Linked DNA regions of Schizosaccharomyces pombe. Changing the gene in region 1 together with any one later gene gives a genetic interaction. Each region holds a gene or a part of one and is shown in the gene's direction. Other genes may lie near its edges. The genes, in order: psm1, alp14, sfr1 and wpl1.

Region 1 (6,920 bases):
TTACCTCTAATGGGCCGGAGGAACGATGGGTATTAGAAGCATTGACACTATCCTTGTCATCATCCTCATCATCCACAAAAGCATTATCACCATCCTCTACAATATCATCGGAATTATCTACCTCTTCATCTTCACTTTCTAAATCTTCTCCATCATCTTCCTCATCAGCTACCCATTCTGCTTCTGAATCATATGTGTAGTCTATGTCTTCATCTTCAAGCCAGGGATTCAATAAAACGTTAGAACCATGGGAATGGGTTTTCGTGTAAGATCCAAAATATGGAGGGCGAACATCCTGATAAAAGAAAATGAATTTAATAGGAATCTGTGATAAACAAGATAAAATTTCTTGAGGTTTTGAAACAGATGGATCTTGATATGCGCTCATTAATTGTCGAACCTCGTTTTCGGAATTTCTATTACTAACACCTAAACTGTTTGCGGAGCTTACAGCATCTGATGGTGTAAAAATGTCGTTTAGCTTTAAAGGATAAGATTTAGAGGTTGAGAGGACTTCATCCAAAAAAGAATCAGATTCGTTCGGAGATGGATATTTGGAAAGGGACATCTGATGCTTTATAAAAAAAGGGCGAAACTCTTTCTCAAACTCATTCAGTTCATCCGTTTTGTCAGCTACAAAATTTTCGTTTGGCGCGATTCGTTTCTCAACTCCTTTGGTGAAAAAGTTGTTTAACTTCAATTGTTGTCTTTCCTTATTAAGGATTTGTTCTTGACGAAGGCGCTGTGCTTCTTCTTTCTCACGAAGCTTTTGATCCCTCTCCTCCTTCCGCCTTTGTTGTTCCTGCAATCGAATCCGCTCCTTCTCTAATTTCTCTAATTCTTTCATTTTCTTAGCGGCGATTTTTTCCTGTTCTCTTAGCTTTTTCTCTTGCTCTCGTTGTTGACGTTCCTTTTCACGTTTTAAACGCTCTGCTTCTTTTTGTCGAATCCTTTCCTCTTGGGCCCGCTGTTTTTGAAGCTTCTTTTCTTTACCCGCTTCAGCAGAGCCATTATAAATTCTTTTCTTTCTATTACCCTCATAACTTAATTTGCAAACGTACTCATCAGCTTCACTTGCAGAGTGACTGGAATGAATAACCGATTCATTCGGGGAACTCACTGATAAAGACGTAATGTCAGTGGAAGAGCTACATAACTCATTTCCCTTATTACTAGTAGAGGCCGCGACATCTGAATCAACACTTTCACTATTCATAGACAATGCTGCGAATATCAATAACAAGCCTAAGGGAGGCTAAAAACCGTGCGTAAGTTGTTTTAACGGACGCTCTGATCGAATAAAGAGGATAAAGGAGAGTTCGTAAATTATATGTTAATATTCTATTATATACATCACTATCCCAAATCTGTCTCACCAATCTATTATTCATCCATCTTAACGCTTATATAATTGAATAATTTAATTCCTTAGTTCTAACAAGATATGTACTGATTGATCTGAGTAGCTTAAACATCAAAGTTTTTTGCGAATGGGTTAATATGGTGATTTGTTATATATTTTACCTGACTACGATTATATAATATTACTGCTACATTGCATTACGATATTAATGTTAATATTTTATGGCTCATCTATATTATGATTGAGTTAATATCAGTTGACGAGAATTTTCTTTGAAATTATTTGCCATATTTTTTAACTGGTGATTGGAGTACCACAAATTCATTAATAATGAAACAAACGGATGTTGTTATCATCAATTTTCTTCCTATTTATATGCAGCAAACTTCTTTCAATAACGATGCATCGTACATATATAGGCAGGGGCTATGCAGCTTAGAATAGTAATTCGCTGGAAGGATAATATCATAATAACGAGGTTCTTGTTACAGTGAATATCAAGTTGCACTATATATTATATCGTGGATTTCTGAAACTTTATGAGATGTAATCGTAATGAGTAGGTAACAATATCTAATCAAGTAAAGACGCGTACGCGAGTTTCATACACACCTTGTACATTCCTTTTACCAAGTTTTCCTAATGGGACGTTTACTAAGACTGGAAGTTGAAAACTTTAAGTCTTATCGAGGACATCAAATTATAGGTCCTTTTGAGGACTTTACCTCGATTATCGGTCCTAATGGAGCCGGAAAATCGAATTTAATGGATGCCATTTCTTTTGTTTTAGGGGTCAAGTCTTCTCATTTACGATCAACTAATGTTAAAGAACTGATCTATCGGGGGAAAATACTGCAAAGAGATAATACAGATTTCACTGATTCTAGTAATCCTACTACAGCATATGTGAAACTTATGTATGAGTTGGATAATGGGGAGCAAAGAGAGTATAAACGCGCAATCACTCCTTCTGGTGCTACTGAATACAAAATTGATGAAGAAATAGTTACGTTTTCTGAATACTGCGGATCTCTCCAAAAGGAGAATATTCTTGTTCGAGCTCGAAATTTCTTAGTTTTTCAAGGTGATGTTGAAACCATTGCTTCGCAATCTCCTTTAGAACTTTCAAAGCTTGTTGAACAAATAAGTGGCTCTCTGGAATATAAATCTGAGTACGATAAATCTAAAGACGAGCAGGACAAGGCTGTAAATTTATCTGCTCATTCGTTTAACAAGAAACGTGGTATCAACGCTGAGTTACGCCAATATCAAGAACAGAAAACTGAAGCCGAGCGTTATCAAAGTCAAAAAGAAAAACGAGACTCTGCGCAGTTAGTTTACCTTTTATGGAAACTCTTTCATCTAGAGAAAAGTATTAGTTCTAATATGGCAGAGGTTACTCGATTAAAGGCAGATTCCATTCAACTTATCGAAAGGCGAGATGAGAACACTAAAGAGATAGAAAAGTTGAAAGAAAAAGAGGGCAGTATACGAAGAAACCTTCTTGCATTCGATAGAAAAGTTCGAAAACAAGAAAAGTTGATTGCTTCGAAACGTCCAGAGCTCATTTCAATTGCCGAGAAAGCCCTAGAGTCTAAGTCAAATCTCCGAAAAATTCAAAGAAAAGCTGCGGAAATAGAAAAAGATTATTCTGACCAAGCTAGTACGTTACAAGTATTAGAAAATCAATTGACTTCACTCTCAGCTGCTGAAAAAGAGTTTTTAAAAGACATGCAGGAAAAAGAGCAACTCAAAGGGTTGCGATTGTTACCAGAGGATAAAGAGGAGTATGAAGGACTTCGAAGTGAGGCGGACAAATTAAACTCAAATCTATTGTTCAAATTGCAGACGTTAAATAGGAATATTAAAGTTACTTCTCAATCAAAGGATTCATTAACGAGCATCGTTGGAGACTTAGAGTCGAAGATTAAAAGCCTTCATGAAAGTGTTTCTTCTCTTGATACCGAGCGAGCGGATTTGCTTGCTAAAATAAATGAAAAGATTGAAAGTTTGGAACTTGAAAAGCATGATCAGCAGAAGAAGAGGTTGACTTATTCTGAGCTTTTTCATAAAACACAAGAATTAAATGAAGAGCTTCAATCTTGTTTACAGAAAATTTTAGAGGCAAGTGCCGACCGCAATGAATCCAAACAGGATGCTAAAAAAAGAGAAGCATTGTATGCTTTGAAAAGGATATATCCTGAAGTCAAAGGAAGAATCATTGACTTATGTACTCCTACTCAAAAGAAATATGAAAGCGCAATCGCTGCTGCTTTAGGCAAAAATTTTGACGCAATTGTCGTCGAAACGCAGGCAGTTGCTAAAGAGTGTATTGACTATATAAAAGAGCAACGCATAGGTATTATGACCTTTTTTCCAATGGACACCATAGCAGCCAGTCCCGTTAATCAAAAATTTCGTGGAACACACAAAGGCGCCCGACTTGCAATTGACGTTTTGAATTTTGAGTCTGAATATGAACGTGTAATGATTAGTGCAGTTGGAAATACACTCATTTGTGATTCAATGACTGTTGCTCGAGACCTTTCCTATAACAAACGTCTCAATGCCAAGACAGTTACTTTAGAGGGAACGGTTATACATAAAACAGGGTTGATTACTGGTGGATCTTCAAACAACCGGTCGGCGAAACACTGGGATGACCATGATTTTGATCTGCTTACTCAAACAAAAGATAGACTTATGCATCAAATTGGTGAAATAGAATATCAAAAGTCATCTTGTGTGATTACAGAAAGTGATACTGTCAAGTTGCATAGTCTTGAATCTGAGATATCTCTACTCAAAGACAAATATACAGTAGTTTCTAGATCCGTGGAAGACAAAAAAAAGGAAATTGGACATTACGAATCTTTAATCAAAGAAAAACAGCCTCACTTGTCAGAATTGGAAATGGAACTTCGCAACTTTGTTAAAAGTAGAGATGAGCTTCAAATTCAAGTAGAAAAGGTTGAGGAAAAGATATTCTCCGGGTTTTGCAAACGAATTGGGATAAGTGATATACATACTTACGATGAGATACATCGCACTTTTACTCAAAGTTTTACACAAAAACAACTCGAATTCACCAAGCAAAAATCATTACTTGAAAATCGTATTAGTTTTGAAAAACAACGTGTTTCAGATACCAGGTTACGATTAGAGCGTATGCATAAATTCATTGAAAAAGATCAGGAATCTATTGATAATTACGAGCAAAATCGGGAAGCACTTGAATCAGAAGTTGCAACTGCCGAGGCTGAGCTTGAATTATTAAAGGAGGATTTTGCAAGTGAGAACTCTAAAACTGAAAAAATTTTATTAGCTGCATCCGAGAAAAAGCTAGTGGGCAAACGATTAGTGTCTGAGTTAACAAAGTTATCAGGAAACATTACTCTTTTAGAATCGGAGATTGACCGCTATGTATCTGAATGGCACGCAATTTTACGAAAATGCAAACTAGAAGATATAGATGTTCCGTTACGCGAAGGATCTTTGACGAGCATACCTATAGATGATGTCTCAAACAGCGGTGATATCACCATGGGCGAAGAGCCGTCTGAACCAGTAATAAATTTTGAGAAATTTGGAGTAGAAGTGGATTACGATGAACTGGATGAAGAGTTACGCAATGACGGTTCTGAGAGTATGGCTTCTGTTCTTCAAGAAAAATTGAGAGAGTATTCGGAAGAGCTGGATCAGATGTCTCCTAATTTAAGGGCTATTGAGAGACTTGAAACAGTAGAAACTCGCTTGGCGAAGTTAGATGAAGAATTTGCTGCTGCTCGTAAAGCAGCCAAAAACGCAAAAGAACGCTTCAATGCCGTTAAGCAAAAGAGATTGCAAAAATTTCAAGCTGCCTTTTCGCATATCTCGGAACAAATCGATCCAATATATAAGGAACTTACCAAAAGTCCTGCTTTTCCTCTTGGTGGAACAGCGTATTTGACTTTGGATGACCTCGATGAGCCATATCTTGGAGGAATCAAGTTCCATGCAATGCCACCTATGAAGAGATTTAGAGATATGGATCAACTTTCTGGAGGAGAAAAGACCATGGCTGCTTTGGCTCTGCTATTTGCTATCCACTCTTATCAGCCATCCCCATTTTTTGTATTGGATGAAATTGATGCAGCTTTGGATCAAACCAACGTTACCAAGATTGCCAACTATATTAGACAGCATGCATCCAGCGGTTTTCAATTTGTTGTCATTTCCTTGAAAAATCAGTTGTTCAGTAAATCAGAAGCTTTAGTGGGTATTTATAGAGATCAACAGGAGAATTCTTCACGAACATTATCAATCAACGTAAGGGATTACTTTTTCTTAATTTTAAAATACTAACGAAAAACAGTTGGAAGGTTATGTGGAGTAAATGATAATATTAACCTGTGATATGCTGCTTAATGTCTGTGTTAATATATTCTAAGAATACTTTATGTTTAATAGGGATGGCAAATATATATTTGCGTAATTTATTTATTTCTAACGAATTTAATTTTAATTGTTTTAAGTTTCCTTCTATAATTGATCAAGGACTTTTTTAATTTACAACGCTTTTTCTTTATGTCCTTAATTGATTTTGTCTCTGAATTGACTGGGCTAATGATAGAAACATTAATTATAAGTCACAATTGTCAGCTACGTTTATGTTTAATCCCTAGTTTCAAGGAAGTTGGGTTTAAGTGAGGTTAATGTTTTCAATATAATTCCAGTAACGCAGTTACGCTTAGACGATTCGGCTCACCCCTTGACTGTTTGTTAACTAATGAATTTGGCTGCATACAATTTTGAGAAGTCTCTACTATTCTAGAAGGCTTTCTCCGGAAACTAACTATTGCATTTTCCTTTTTAGTTTAACAGTATTTGCAGTCACAAACTAGCAAGAATACTTTTAAGAATAAACGTTTTATTAGCGACGAATAGTTTAAAATATGTTTAAACCCAACTAGATGCTAACCGCACTACATTTTTAAAACCGCAGCTTATAGAACTTTAAAATATTAATTTTGCGCTTGAGTTTTCCTCATACAGCTAAATTCAATGATTTGGTAATGGTTGATTGATTCACCGTAGTCTTAGTTAACAATCACGATAGATTTCAAACAAAGAACTTTAAAGAAAAAAACTTACTTATAGTATTATCATGATTTTAATGATTTCGATTGAATAGATGTTTAGAAAAGAAGTACACCAGCATACTCAAACAATGATAGCCGGCTCCTTAAATTATTTCACACATAAACAATAACAAAGCCTTTTATATTTATCCTTTCTTAATGATAAAGTAAATTTTATACTTGTTCGTTTTGGGCCTATCGACTGCAAGAATATATTTGTTGATCAGATACACAACACACTTCCAAGGGTACTACGTTAAAACTGTTACAGAACCAACATCTCGATAACGCACCTGCATTCTTTTGGTGCTTGACGAATGCTTTAAACATGGGAATTAAAGGTCTTTTGGGACTTTTGAAGCCTATGCAGAAAAGCTCTCATGTCGAGGAGTTTTCTGGCAAGACTTTGGGAGTTGATGGATATGTTTGGTTGCACA
Region 2 (4,943 bases), on another chromosome or scaffold:
TACCAATATTGGGGAGGAAAGCTTACCTGATGCTGCAAATGTTCCTTTACTAGGTCTTTCTAATAAAGCTACCACTGCATCTGAAACTGGTACGGTAAATGCAGAAGAAGTTCAGACTCCTGTTGCTGATGTGATTGGTTCTTTGAACCATCCTCCTTTTGAAGAACACTTACAGCGTTTGCTATTGTTTCCGGAAGTTGAAAAATTATTCGGCCATGGTTATGAGGTTTATGCATGCGCCATATCTAATAATGGTAATATTGCCGCGACTTCTTGTAAATCACAAACCCCCGAACATGCTGTCATTCGGTTATACGAAACGCAGTCATGGAATCAGCAGCAAGTCCTTAAAGGTCATTCTTTGACGGTTACAACTATAAAGTTTTCACCTGATGACCGATACATTTTAAGTGCTGGGCGGGATCGGTTGGTGTGTTTGCATGAGCAAGCCGAAAATTTATTGGATTATAATAACTTTGCTTCTATAAAAGCGCATTCTCGTATTATTTGGGATGCTAGTTGGGCTCCCAAAGAAATGGGTTACTTTTTTGCGACTGCTTCGCGTGATAAATTCGTGAGTAATTTTTTATTTGATCAAATCTTGCTAACTATTTAGGTTAAATTTTGGAAAATCAATGACAATAAAAAAATATGTGATGTTGCTGCTCTCCAATTTTCTGATGCTGTTACCGCTGTTGACTTTGCTCCGTTCTTTCACAACGATGAACTCTTGCTTGCGGTAGGAACTGAAGCTGGTAAAATATTTATTTGGAGATGCCCGAGAGAGAATCTTACCAAATGGTACCCAACACGTTTACCAGACCACATGGCTCCTATGGAGTCAATTAACCAAATTTTATGGAAGCCCACTTTTGAAACTATGGGGTTGTATTCTCTTTTAATTGCTGGCGAAGATACCAGTGTACGACTTTTGAACGTTACGTTGGGATAAACTTGAAAATAAGTACAATTGGTAATGTTAGATTGGGTTGGCCTGTTTTAAACATACCTGAGGGGTGGTTAAAAATGCTTAGATAAATTATTTATTGTTATAATTGTCGATAAATAAAAGGAAGGTTAATGGGTTGTTAGGTTGGCATAATTAGTGCTGAATGGTAGACATTCATCAGATTGATTCATTACTTTAGTTGTTATATATATATATAAATATGTATTTTTAATTATTAGTATCAAAAACTTTGGTGTAGTAGTCTTCTCAATTAACTCAAACACAATTTTACATGTTAGAGAAAAAAACAACACATAAAAATTTTTTTTAAAAATAAATTATATTTAAAAGGTAGATAAGGCAAGATTTTAACTAAGAAGTATTTTCAAGCGTAATAGAATGCAAGTTGTAAATCTAACTAAGAACATTGATTACTTCTACGAAATTTAGTTTATTTTTTTTCCCTTTCTATTACTCGTTTACATTTATTGAAAGAACGGAGCAAGCTAGGAAGTAATTTATATTCAACTGAATGACTGCATTTTCGGTAGTGTCCAAAAGTAACACTTACCAACTCCAAACATCTATTTTGCAAACCTAAGTCTTAATAAAGATACTTTTTATTAAAGGCTATATTTTCTCAGGTTTGAATTTGTTGACTCAACGAGTTAATACTTATATACTCCGGCCTTGCTAAATCGATATTCTGTAAAGTTTGACAGTGTTGTATTTGCCTACAGGCTTAACGAGTAATTACTTATTATTTATTCAAAAAAGGGAGAAAAGGTACTAAGTACAACTTTTGAGTTTTAGAATTGGAGTTTTGGGAGAGCATTTGCTGTTTATTTATCTTATACGCTCCTTTAATTTTTGGCACCCCGGAGGAACATGAGCCAAGATCAAGAAGAAGACTACTCCAAACTTCCTCTAGAATCAAGAATAGTACATAAAGTATGGAAAGTGCGTCTATCTGCTTATGAAGAGTGCAGCAAATCGTTTTCACTTTCAGCAGATGGTTCGGATAATTGCTTTGAGCTTTGGAATAATCAGAGTGAATTGTGGAAATCAGTGCTGACTGATAGCAACGTAGCAGCTCAAGAAGCTGGTACCGCAGCGTTTGTAGCTTATTGCAGGTTTTCCGATCCTTCTCATTTACTTAAAGCTCGTGAAATATCAGTCCTTTCAATTTCAGAGAAATGCTTAACATCACCTCGCGCAGGTACAAGGGAAAATGCACTAGAAGCTCTTATGCTATTAGTTGAAGCAGATTCAGCTGCGCCAGTTATAGAATCAATCATTCCTTCTTTATCGGCTCGATCCCCGAAGGTAATAGCTTCTAATGTCGCTGCCATTGCTAGTCTAGTTGAGCAGTTTGGTGCTAAAGTTATTCCTTCAAAAATGATTATTCCACATATCTCCAACTTGTTTGGTCATGCTGATAAAAATGTTCGTAAGGAAGCATCTCGTTTAACTGTAAACATTTATCGGTGGACAGGGGATCCTTTAAAAGATTTACTATTTAAAGATCTAAGACCAGTTCAGACGAAAGAGCTTGAGTCTCTTTTTGCTGAGCTACCAACAGAGCCTCCCAAACAAACTCGTTTTTTGAAAAGTCAGCAACCTACATCAGAGCCGAATGTTGAAACACAGGTAGAAGAGCAACCTGCTCTCGAGAATGAAGAAAGTGAACCAGAACCGTCAGATGATCAATTTGATTTGGTAGAAGAAGTGGACGTTTTACCCAATGTGGATCCTAACCTGGAAACTTTAATGGCTTCTTCGAAATGGAAGGATCGTAAGGAAGCGTTAGACAAACTACTTCCTGTCTTATCTCAACCAAAGATCAAAGACAACGATTTTTTTAATTTAGTTGCTATTCTCACAAAGTCTGTTTCAAAAGACGCAAATATCATGGTGGTTATAAATGCTGCACACTGTATACAAGCGATGGCTAAAGGTTTACGCTCAAATTTTTCGAAGTATGCCTCAACATCTATTAATGCACTGTTGGAACGATCCAAAGAGAAAAAGGCTAATGTAATCGAATCACTATCTTCTGCGATGGATGCTGTTTTGGCTACATCCAGTTTGGATGACTTAGCCGAGCTCATTGCTAGCTTTGCCGGGAACAAAAATCCTCAAATCAAAAGCTCCTGCTTTAGTTTGTTCTCGAGATCTTTCAGTAATATGACATCCTTACCATCTAAGTTTACAGTTGATACCTGTGCTAAAGCATGCGTTCCTGGTGTTTCTGATACCTTTGAGCCGGTGCGTAGTGCGGCAGCAGAAGCCTTGGGTGTTTTGATGAAACTCGTTGGTGAAAGAGCCATTAATCAGTATTTAAGTCCGTTGGACGACATCAGGAAATCTAAAATTCGTTCTTTTTATGAAACAGCTACAGTAAAGGCTAAGGCACCTACAAAAAAGTCGAAAGTTAAACCTTCAAAACAAGAAGAATCAAAAGTCGTCGTACCTTCAAATGCTAAGGCTGTCAAGAAATCCGTTGTTCCTTCTAGTCCAGTTGTACCATCTCCACGAAAGGCAACTAACAAATCGCTTTCCATGGATGTATCAAAGGGTAATGCATTTGAGAATGGTCCTTTGTTACCAAGACCGACTACGAGGCCAGTTTCTCGAGGGCTTTCACGAGGCACATCTTCCAGTTTGCAACAAAAAGTAAAAGCTTCCACTCCTTTGAATTCGGGAGCACTTAACGAAACGGTGCAAAATTTGAAGAACATGGAGTTGGACGATCCGGCTCCTCAACCGGCTAAGCATTCACGAGTTGATCGTTATGAACACCCTAAAGTATTAGAAGACAATGACTCTACCATTTCGTCTTTAGAATCTCTGAAGAGAGAAAACGAGGAGTTACGAGAGCAGTTGAAAGTTGAACATGAAGAGAATATTTCTATGCAAAAACAACTCAGTGAATTGAAAGGTGAATTAAATACCTTACGCAGTGCCAGGAAAGCCTCACCAATAGGAGACAGAAAACCTGCATTTATGCGAAGAGCTAATACTGACTTTTTAGAGCTCTCTACGAGTCCCTCATTTCAACGTTCAGTGAGGGAATTTGAACCTACTAGACCTAAACTTTATAGCTCTATAGATGTGAATCAGAGATCCCCTTTAGCATCTGCGAAAACAAATGGTAATTTCACGTTTCATGCTGAATTACCAAGATCACCGTTTTCGTCAAGGGCCAATAATATCAATCCTGATTGGACTAAAGCCATTGATTTAGCTGCCAAACTAAAACAAAAAATTACTGAGATGAAACAAACAGACCAAAGACATCAGGGATTGATTCACTAGTTTTTAAATTCTTTCGTTTACATTCCAATGTCCCTTACTTCCCTTTCTATTTTTTAATGTTTTAGAATAATGATAATATCGGTTTACAAAAATAATAACAAAATACGTATTCTCGTTTATACCAAATTTCTTAAAATCAGATTTAACTATAGGTTAAAGATGGAGTCAAATGGTAACTCAAACACACAACACAAACAAACATATAAAATAAATAAAAGAATTTTAACGTACGAATTTATCGCATTAAACGTATTAGTGTCATTAAAAAAAGTAGTCTGTTTAATTTTGCATCACAAGTATACTGTATAGCCGTACCAAGTATAAACGAAAACCTCTTTTTAAAAAAATTAAACATAATAAAGAAATTGTTAGAAGAAAAAAAATAAAGATATGCGTAAAGTACAGACAGTCGAAAAAAGAGTAACAATCACATGAGTCTTTGCCCAATGAAAAGTTCTAAGCTTTGTTCAAAAAGTCCGGAGGACTGATGTTGCTAAAGTAGTCCAAAGAAGCGGTGGAAGGAGTATCGGCATCACCATCATCGTCCTCCAGGTAGAAATAAGAATCACGATAAGGGGAATAAGGCGGTAAATGGGACAATTCCGACTCTAATTTCCTATGAAACAGATATATAGGAAGCTTAAAATCCAAGGAATCTAGCCACTCATTTAGTTTT
Region 3 (3,867 bases), 960 kb from region 1:
TTTCTTCCAAATGATGAATATTATAGTTGGAAACTCCAATTTTGTTTATCCTTCCTTCTTTTTGATGCTGCAATAGTGCTCGCCAAGACTCAATACGGCGTACGGGCCACTTTGGTGAATGTATTAGCACGACGTCTAACTTTGGACGACCTGTTCTGCGAAGAGACTGTTCGACCGCTTTCCAGGTACGTTCAAATCCTTGTAAGGAGTCAGGAATCTTAGTTATTAAGGTGATATCTTCACGTTTAATATTCACATTTTGATGGCAGAAATCTTGAATGGCTTGTTCACATTCTTTTTCATTTCGATATGTAATTGCTGAATCAATTACGCGAATACCAAGCGAGAGTGCCTCAATTACTTGCTGGTAGCAATCCTTAAGTTGATATACACCAAAGCAAAGTTGTTCCTTTTCAAAATTGGTTTGAGAAGGAGAAAATGGTTTCATTAACGTAAGTTGAGGTAGATGAGAGAGCTCAATGTATAGACAAAAATATTTTCTAAATCCCTAAACCTTTAAGTAGGAGATTAAAGGAAATTTTTTATATATTTAGGATAATTGTAAAGAATTATTCAATGGTTATATAGCTAGGCCAGACAAGTTCATCCTCAATAATACGTTTAACTTTTTCCGATACAAATTTCTCGACTTTAGCAACATTTTTTAGCAGCTGTTTATTAGATTCTCCAATAATACTTTCCACTGTTAAATCTCGAATAACACTTGATGCATGCTCTCCAGTTCCGTGCAGCAATGTATCAACGAAGCATAGATGCGTCCGCTTTCCCATTTTAGCCAAAACAGCAATGGCATCGATGGAAATCCTAATAAATGAAAGTTTGAATGGAAGAACTGCAAATTCAGAGTTCGGGTAATTCATCGATAGAACCGCTTCCAGGCTTAGATTTGCGTCTCCGTCATAAGATACGTGTGCAGTAACTTGGAAATCGTTAGAACGATCTCTTTCTTGATGATTATCCATTGGAGTACTTGGGCGACTTTCAGGAATTGGGCTTGTGAGTCCACTTGCAGATAGAATCCCGGGTGAATTAAATGCGGGATTAAAATATGCTAGTCTTGAAAATGGATGTTCAGCAGCGTAAGGTGGAAGATCCGTAAGCACTGGTGAAACATTATTGCGGGAGCATTGATCACCCTCTAGTTCTTGGTTAGCTAATTCGAAAGCTTCATTTTCATAAAATTGGGGATCAGGATCGCCGATTTCTTGAATAGTAATCTGAGGTGAGACTTTGCCGAAATGGAAGTCAACAACCTTTAAATGCTTTATATAAGATGGTAGCGACAAATTCGAAACTTGTCCTTCGAGAAGATGTAAAACTTTTGCTTCTAATTCTGAGTCTAACTTTGACCAATCAAAGTCAATAGACATTGTTCTGCAATTGTAAAAAAAAAATACGAACTCTTGAATCTCTCAATGACGATTGTAGCAAGTTTTCAAAATTTAAGTAATTTCTTCGTCAACTTGGTTAATGAAATAATATTTAAACCGGTTCTCTAAATTTTATACGAAGACGGCATGAATTTGATACTTTAAACAAAATCCTCCAGCAATTTTAATGTCCTTTCCTTCAATGTTCTTTTTTACTCATCGAGAATTGCAAGTGAATTTTTAAGATATCTATTTATCTTAAATATTACCTTCTGTAGGTACCAAAATCTTTTCTCCTAGTATTGTCAGTAGAGTTAGGTGGTATTCCCAGATTACCTTCTAACAAAGCCTACGCGGTTTAAAAAAGGTTAAAAAACAAATTTGTAAATTAATAAACCTTTTAGTTTATTACTATCGTAATTTGTATAAACATTTAATTTTTTGGAACCACCAGTCATGTGCTTCAGTCTTCTTCTACCTAAGTTCTTGTTGCTTGCTGTTATTTTCACCTTCTGCTAGTAAAACGTTTTCAACGTTTATCTGGAATTTGTGGTATTTCTTCATTTCTATAACAATTAATATTCAATTCATTTAATTATTTGAAGTTAGAGTTTAAACATTCAACTATTACACTCAACGCGTTTGTTGACAAAAGTTACGCGCTTCATTGCATCTTTGTTATAATTTAACATTCACTCTTTCATCTTCGAATTAGTACTTTAAAACGATTTAACTGAAAATGTCGCAAACAATTAACTCTGAACTCAATGAAAATGCTACTTCACAGTGTAAAGAAGATTTGAAAGTTTCCCTAAGCGAAAGTGATTTACGTGACTCACAGGGTCAGTTAGGAATAGAAAACCCTCCTAAATGCAATAACAGTGGCAATCACTCAGATAACCTAGGTTTTATCGAGCAGTCAGAAACAGTACATCCAGAGAATGAGAAGGCTTTGACGCCGGACCTGCGAGATACAAAAATACATACTTCTTTACCAATTACTACACCTTTTTCAAAGAAAAGGGCTCGAGAAGCCAAAAATATACTTCTTAAGCCGTTCAAAAGCCCCTTAAGACAAACTGCCAGTCCTCAAGTTGCAGACACTAATCTAAAACCATCGTTAGCTGTAACAAATCTTAACTCTGATGAAACAAACACTTCTTCAGAACCTGTTACTTCTCCCTTAAGAACAACGCCTAATTCAATAAAACGGCAAAAACGACTTTTCAAGTCACCTATCTCTAATTGCCTTAATCCAAAGTCCGACCCTGAAATCACACAGTTGCTTTCTCGTCGTTTAAAACTTGAAAAAGAAGTCAGAAATTTACAAGAGCAGCTCATAACCGCCGAAACTGCACGAAAGGTTGAAGCCAAAAATGAAGATAAAGACTTGCAAACGTTGATACAGAAATGGAAAAATGCTGCTCAGCAAGCCGCTGAAGTACTTTTTAAACCAATGGCTGAACGTATTCGTTTGGCTGGAGGTGTTACTCAGTCCTTTCGTATTGAAGAAGGTGAAAATAAAGGGCAAATTCAGGAAGTACGAACTGAATTTACAATGAGTATGTTTCTAAATCAGTTTGGTGTTCCTGTTCATTTGATGTCTTTTGATGAAGAAAATGGTGATTGGAAATCGTAAAGGACTCCTTACTATTGTTAAAAAAATTTTCGTTCGTACTAGTTAGAAAACCTTTAGTACGAACTTAAATATGTTTAGCTAGCTTACACCAAAATCAAGGGTATACTAATTGAACGTACAGAGGTACCTTAATCGTTTACATACAAATTGCGCCGAGCTGGTATCGAAATTCTTTACATGTAACAATGAATCGTTCCAGGCTGAGTTTATGACTTTAATTTATATAATTATTAGCATTATACAATAACATGTCTCATTAATTTGAAATTTCTTGATTTTGAACCTTCTGGTTCTAAATTTTTTCTGGAGATATTTAACATTCAAACAACAAAAGTCGATTAATTGGCTGACAGACAACAAATATAGATCAACCAATTGAAAGATGAAAAACAAAATTTATTCAAAGCATGATTTAATCACCGACGAACCCTAACATACATATATTTTTTATTCTGCATCCATCGAGCAACAAAATTTTAAATTAGAACGCAAAAAAATCGAAGATACAATTTTTATTAAGCGCGGTTTTGTCTACGGATGATTCGCTCACGTCGTTCTTGAAGTCGATGCTGTTGATGGCGTCTCATTAAAACCAGTCCGACAACTACCACAATAAGCGTGACACACGCAGTCTCCAAAAACCTTCCATCAATGTAATCATAAGTGAAACGAATATCATTATAGGATTCACCCATCTCTTCAGTATTAGGCGAGGGCAAGGACTCAGACGTTTCTTGAGGGTCAGGTTGTTGTGGTGTACGATCTACTTGTAGTGTTGGTGGTTCTGGGGGAAGTTGTGAGTCCGGACCTGCCGGGCTTAGTATGTCAAAAATATTT
Region 4 (4,301 bases), 2.1 Mb from region 1:
TTTAAATTCTTCAGCTTTTTTTGCTTCCATTGCTTTTTGCTTTTTACGCACGCGATCGAACAGAGAAGATTGTCTCAAAGTTAACTGAGATGATGTTAGCTTACGCGATGAATTTTGAACAGATGAAGAACTTTGATGGGATTTCAAATTGATTTTTGAATTCACTGACTTTGACAAAGTGGACGAACTGTCAAGCATGCTACACGAGACTAACTCATTAGCATATTTTGCCGTGTTAGTAGTGAATTTTGGTTCTAGAGTTTGTGTGGGAATACGTAACTCGCGACTTGTTGATTTCTCCAAATTGAGCTTTCGAACTAGTGAACTTTCATTAACAGTATTCTTGGATAGACTGGGTAAAGCTTGTAACTGTTGAGCAGGAATCTCAGTTTCAGAACAATGCTCTAACAACCATTTTTCTAGTCTCCGTTTAAATTCAATGGAGCGGGAGAAGGCTTCAGGAAGATTCGCATTGCGAGGGTATGACAGTTCATATGTTGCAACACGCTTTCCTTGATGAATAGTAAAACATGGGGTAATAGCAAATGACTCTGGCCATACGGTTAAAATCTGAGCGAGATGAGTTATTTTTAAGGAGATTTTGGTGAGACCAGAGACTTTATTTTCTAACAGCACAAAGGTTGGTTTGGTATTGATGGAGAGGTGAAATTTTACACATATGTCGACTGCATTAAAGACCTTTTCTAAGAAAAGAACTGATTCATTTTTAACTGGGGGTAAAACCTCATTTTGTTCTAAAGACTCAGTGTCCAAGTTCTCTTTCAGCCTTTTAACAGCTGGTATTATTTGAGAATCCTCAGGATTTTTGGGTGGCTCAATAATGGCCGCATTCGACCTTTTTGATGAGGATCGAGTTTTACGGACAGAGAAGTTCAATTTTGTTTGCGATCCAGCGCTCATGATTTGAACACAAAATCCAAAAATAAGGATATTGTTGTCGTGACTATATAGGGCGCGACATTTCATTTATATCGAGGGTTATATTAAATTTGAGCGTGTCGCGTTTGTTGACGCGTCGCGTAGCTATCGTGTCGCGCTTGCTAACTAGTTCACATTTGTCCGACTAATCAGTTTATGTCTTACTTAGCCTATATGATTCAGTAGATTATATTGAATAAATAAGTTCCAACACTTGTACAAAATTCACAAAACAATTTTTTAACTACAGCTTTTCATTTTCCGAAGTTTTTATAGAATCTCTTATACGAGTTTAAAATTATTACAGGATGCATCGTTATATAAATTTTGAATAACTCCTTTGCTCTGCGAGATATTATTGAGTTGTTCGTTGTCGAAATTTTCAATAATATGTTACATGTCACAATGATTTCTGTATAATAAAGGTGTTGCACCAAGTTCAGGCTCTCTGAAAACAAACTTGTGTCAAATAGCCACTCGTCCACTTATGGTCTTCCATAAGTTGTACGAATTCAAAACTTTTAGTTAACTTTTTTACTATCAGTGGATAAGTTGCTATAATAAATGAATAAAAAGATGCCCTGTATGATTTCTATCGACTAAGTCTTTTCTATTTATACTGGGTAGAGTAACAATGTGACTCAAATATCTATAAGGACCGATTGAAATCAACCAAGTACAAATAGAAAAACGATTCTAAAATTACTGAGTATAAAAAACGAATTTCTCATCAAGGACCCTATTTTCTTTTTTCTTTGCTCAAGAAGTTATTAAGCTCTATTTTCGAAGGTTTTCACTCACTCGACAAGCTACATTGTGAGTTGGTACGACCGTGTTCCTCCATTTTTGTAAAGAATCGATGTCAAGCCAGGCGGATTGAAGAAACCTTGAAATGAAAAGAGGAAAATGTAAGGAAAAAGATAATGGTTTGAAGAGAATTTCTTCGGAATCGGAAGTTTGGAACTTTTTAGACGTGACAGTTTCAGAGTTAAACAAGCAAAAGCGCTCGCCAGGACAGACCGTGTCTAAACGACTGCATAAAAAGCAAAGGGTCGTTAGTAATCCTGATTTGAGTTTACCGTCTTCACCGGTAAAACAAATTTTAAGAAATGGACTTCAGAATTCAAAGTACGGTTCTCATAAGACAGGACTGGAAAGGTCCGCGAGCTGTAGTAGTATTGATGCTTCCGCAAACCATTCTTCCACTACCTATCGGGAACAAAGATCGTATTTGATGGAGGAAGGATTAGATACTCAGCCAATTGTACCCCGTGAAGTATCCTCTGGTCGAGAATTGGATTCAACCAACCATACTATTGGTACAGAACGTGCTTTTTTGATAGAGGAAGACGTATCAGAAGATGATGAAATTCAAATGAAAAGTATACATGAACTTCGCTTTGCTGGAGAGCAGCAAAGGATCGTTGATGAAATTGAATACTTAGTGGACGGAGTGACTTTCTCAGGTAACTCTTCTGCTTCTCGCTATTTGAGTTTAATAGGAATCGCTGAAAAAATGTTTGACAATTCATTTCGTTTATGCTTAAAGTCGATACGGGATGTCTTCTTGCGAATATTTGAAGAAATTGATCCTAAAGATACTTTACACACTTTTTTGCAGATTTATATATTTGCAACTATGGCTAATGAAATGGATTGCATGAGTTCCTTGCTTGATGCTTACTCAAACAATGTTAAACTTCTTTTGCAAACGGCTATTACTTTAGAACCGCAGGTACCGGTTTCAATTTTGGCAAAAAGCTTACCAAAAAGTGTAAAGGGAGCCGTTCAAGAATTCGTTATAAAGGCAGAGCTTACTTTTAGTTTTAGCAATGAGTCTCTTGCTTCTTCTGATTCTATCAGTCTTGCAGCTATCGCTCTTATGAAGACGTCCTCGGGAGTTTTTGCGGAAAGCGAGTTGTTTACCGAATTAATCAATCTTTTAATAGAAAAATCCTACCCCATCTTGAAGGAAAACGATGGAAGCAATAACTTCTTACTTCATGCACTTTGTAGTTCTTTAGAAAAATTTACGGATTTCCAGGGATCAGAAAAGATTCAGAAGGTTTCACAGATCTTATCCTCAAAGTTACAAATTTTAATTGATGAACACAATGAAACAAATTCACCAAAAATTGACGATACAGTTGTCCATGCATGCAGTGAAAAATTGTTGCGTACTTTGATTCAAACAGTTAATTCTAACAGTGATCATGCGTTAGCGGTTTCTAAATCAGAAGTCCCATTGTTTGCTTATAAAATTTTACAAAAGTTTTCTAATTTTTCGTCCGATGATGAAACTACACGAGAACTAATTATCTTAATCCTTGGTCTTTTACTAGGGCTAGTTGAGGAATCTCATGAGTTTATTCAAACTATCACTCATGTTGAAGGTAAGTTCCTTTTATTAATATTTTTACTAATTCTATTTAGTTTCTTTCGGAGCTTCAGCACTCGATGTCCTCATTTCGTTTTATCAAAAGAACGTAAGTTGTACTACTTCTGTTGTAAGACATTTCTAACAAATGTAGGAAAGTATCGTAGAAATTAGTGGATATGTCGTAATGATTTTAAGCCATTGCTTTTTAAATGATCCCAAAGCGTTTGCCCAACTCAAGCCTTTGATATCTCAGTTTTACGAATCTCTACATAAATTTAAAAATTTTCATTTGAAATTGAAAGAGGAATTAATGATGATGGGTTCTAATGGACTAGCCATTGTTTCTATAATTGATGAACTACATAAATCGTTGCAAGACTACTTGCGCAGTGACTTGGTAAAATGACCTTTGCGGCGCGCTGGGAACGTGACATCCACAACATCGTTGCTTTCACTCACTTTTTTTTACGATCACTCTATAGTTAATAATTTGCCTTTTTAAATATTATAATCTTGAAATTTTCTAATTTAAACAATGGCTCCTATTAAATCTCGTAGAATTGCTGTTCTTGGCAGTCGTTCTGTTGGAAAGTCCAGGTAAGCGTTTGATTGAAGTTTATGCGCAAATAGGTTTACTAACCATTTTTTTTAAATAGTTTAACGGTGCAATATGTTGAAAACCATTTCGTTGAATCGTATTATCCAACTATTGAAAATACATTCAGCAAGAACATCAAGTATAAGGGTCAAGAATTTGCTACTGAAATTATCGATACGGCTGGTCAAGATGAATACAGTATCTTAAATTCTAAGCATTCCATTGGAATCCATGGCTATGTACTCGTTTACAGCATTACTAGCAAATCTTCTTTTGAGATGGTTAAAATAGTTCGTGACAAGATATTGAATCACACTGTATGTCAAATTATTAGAATTTTTAAATTTTTTACTAACCTACTTGCTATTAAGGGTACTGAGTGGG

The links.
Region 2: of psm1 (region 1) and alp14, extra expression of one rescues a mutant of the other (dosage rescue), as found in Schizosaccharomyces pombe (one study listed by BioGRID).
Region 3: mutations in psm1 (region 1) and sfr1 impair growth when combined (synthetic growth defect), as found in Schizosaccharomyces pombe (one study listed by BioGRID).
Region 4: of psm1 (region 1) and wpl1, a mutation in one rescues a mutant of the other (synthetic rescue), as found in Schizosaccharomyces pombe (one study listed by BioGRID).

What each region holds. Positions count from the first base shown.
Region 1 is NC_003423.3:2,538,738-2,545,657, forward strand, and holds psm1 (mitotic/meiotic cohesin complex ATPase subunit Psm1/Smc1), read left to right. Parts: upstream 1-1,978; 5' UTR 1,979-2,005; coding exon 2,006-5,671; exon of another isoform or gene 5,672-5,717; coding exon 5,718-5,738; 3' UTR 5,739-6,420; downstream 6,421-6,920. Other genes in the region: histone H3-H4 chaperone, CAF assembly factor (CAF-1) complex subunit A Pcf1, read right to left, coding at 1-1,216; exonuclease I Exo1, read left to right, coding at 6,812-6,920. UniProt on the Schizosaccharomyces pombe protein: Involved in chromosome cohesion during cell cycle and in DNA repair. Central component of cohesin complex. The cohesin complex is required for the cohesion of sister chromatids after DNA replication.
Region 2 is NC_003421.2:1,009,925-1,014,867, forward strand, and holds alp14 (microtubule polymerase alp14), read left to right. Parts: upstream 1-1,518; 5' UTR 1,519-1,837; coding exon 1,838-4,267; 3' UTR 4,268-4,390; downstream 4,391-4,943. Other genes in the region: elongator complex subunit Elp2, read left to right, coding at 1-574, 617-952; SPOM_SPCC895.08C (uncharacterized protein), read right to left, coding at 4,724-4,943. UniProt on the Schizosaccharomyces pombe protein: Required for bipolar spindle formation and proper chromosome segregation. Has a role in connecting the kinetochores and the plus end of pole to chromosome microtubules. Also required for the activation of the spindle checkpoint pathway.
Region 3 is NC_003423.3:1,578,558-1,582,424, forward strand, and holds sfr1 (DNA recombination mediator Sfr1), read left to right. Parts: upstream 1-1,898; 5' UTR 1,899-2,130; coding exon 2,131-3,030; 3' UTR 3,031-3,323; downstream 3,324-3,867. Other genes in the region: SPOM_SPBC28F2.05C (xylose and arabinose reductase), read right to left, coding at 1-448; ERMES complex subunit, membrane tether and lipid transfer protein Mdm12, read right to left, coding at 570-1,391; hrd3 (HRD ubiquitin ligase complex subunit), read right to left, coding at 3,546-3,867. UniProt on the Schizosaccharomyces pombe protein: Involved in DNA recombination repair and meiotic chromosome segregation.
Region 4 is NC_003423.3:474,051-478,351, reverse strand, and holds wpl1 (WAPL family protein), read left to right. Parts: upstream 1-1,623; 5' UTR 1,624-1,831; coding exon 1,832-3,332; intron 3,333-3,341; exon of another isoform or gene 3,342-3,372; coding exon 3,373-3,425; exon of another isoform or gene 3,426-3,470; coding exon 3,471-3,725; 3' UTR 3,726-3,778; downstream 3,779-4,301. Other genes in the region: DNA replication licensing factor Cdt1, read right to left, coding at 1-921; Rheb GTPase Rhb1, read left to right, coding at 3,855-3,916, 3,976-4,234, 4,289-4,301. UniProt on the Schizosaccharomyces pombe protein: Regulator of sister chromatid cohesion in mitosis which negatively regulates cohesin association with chromatin.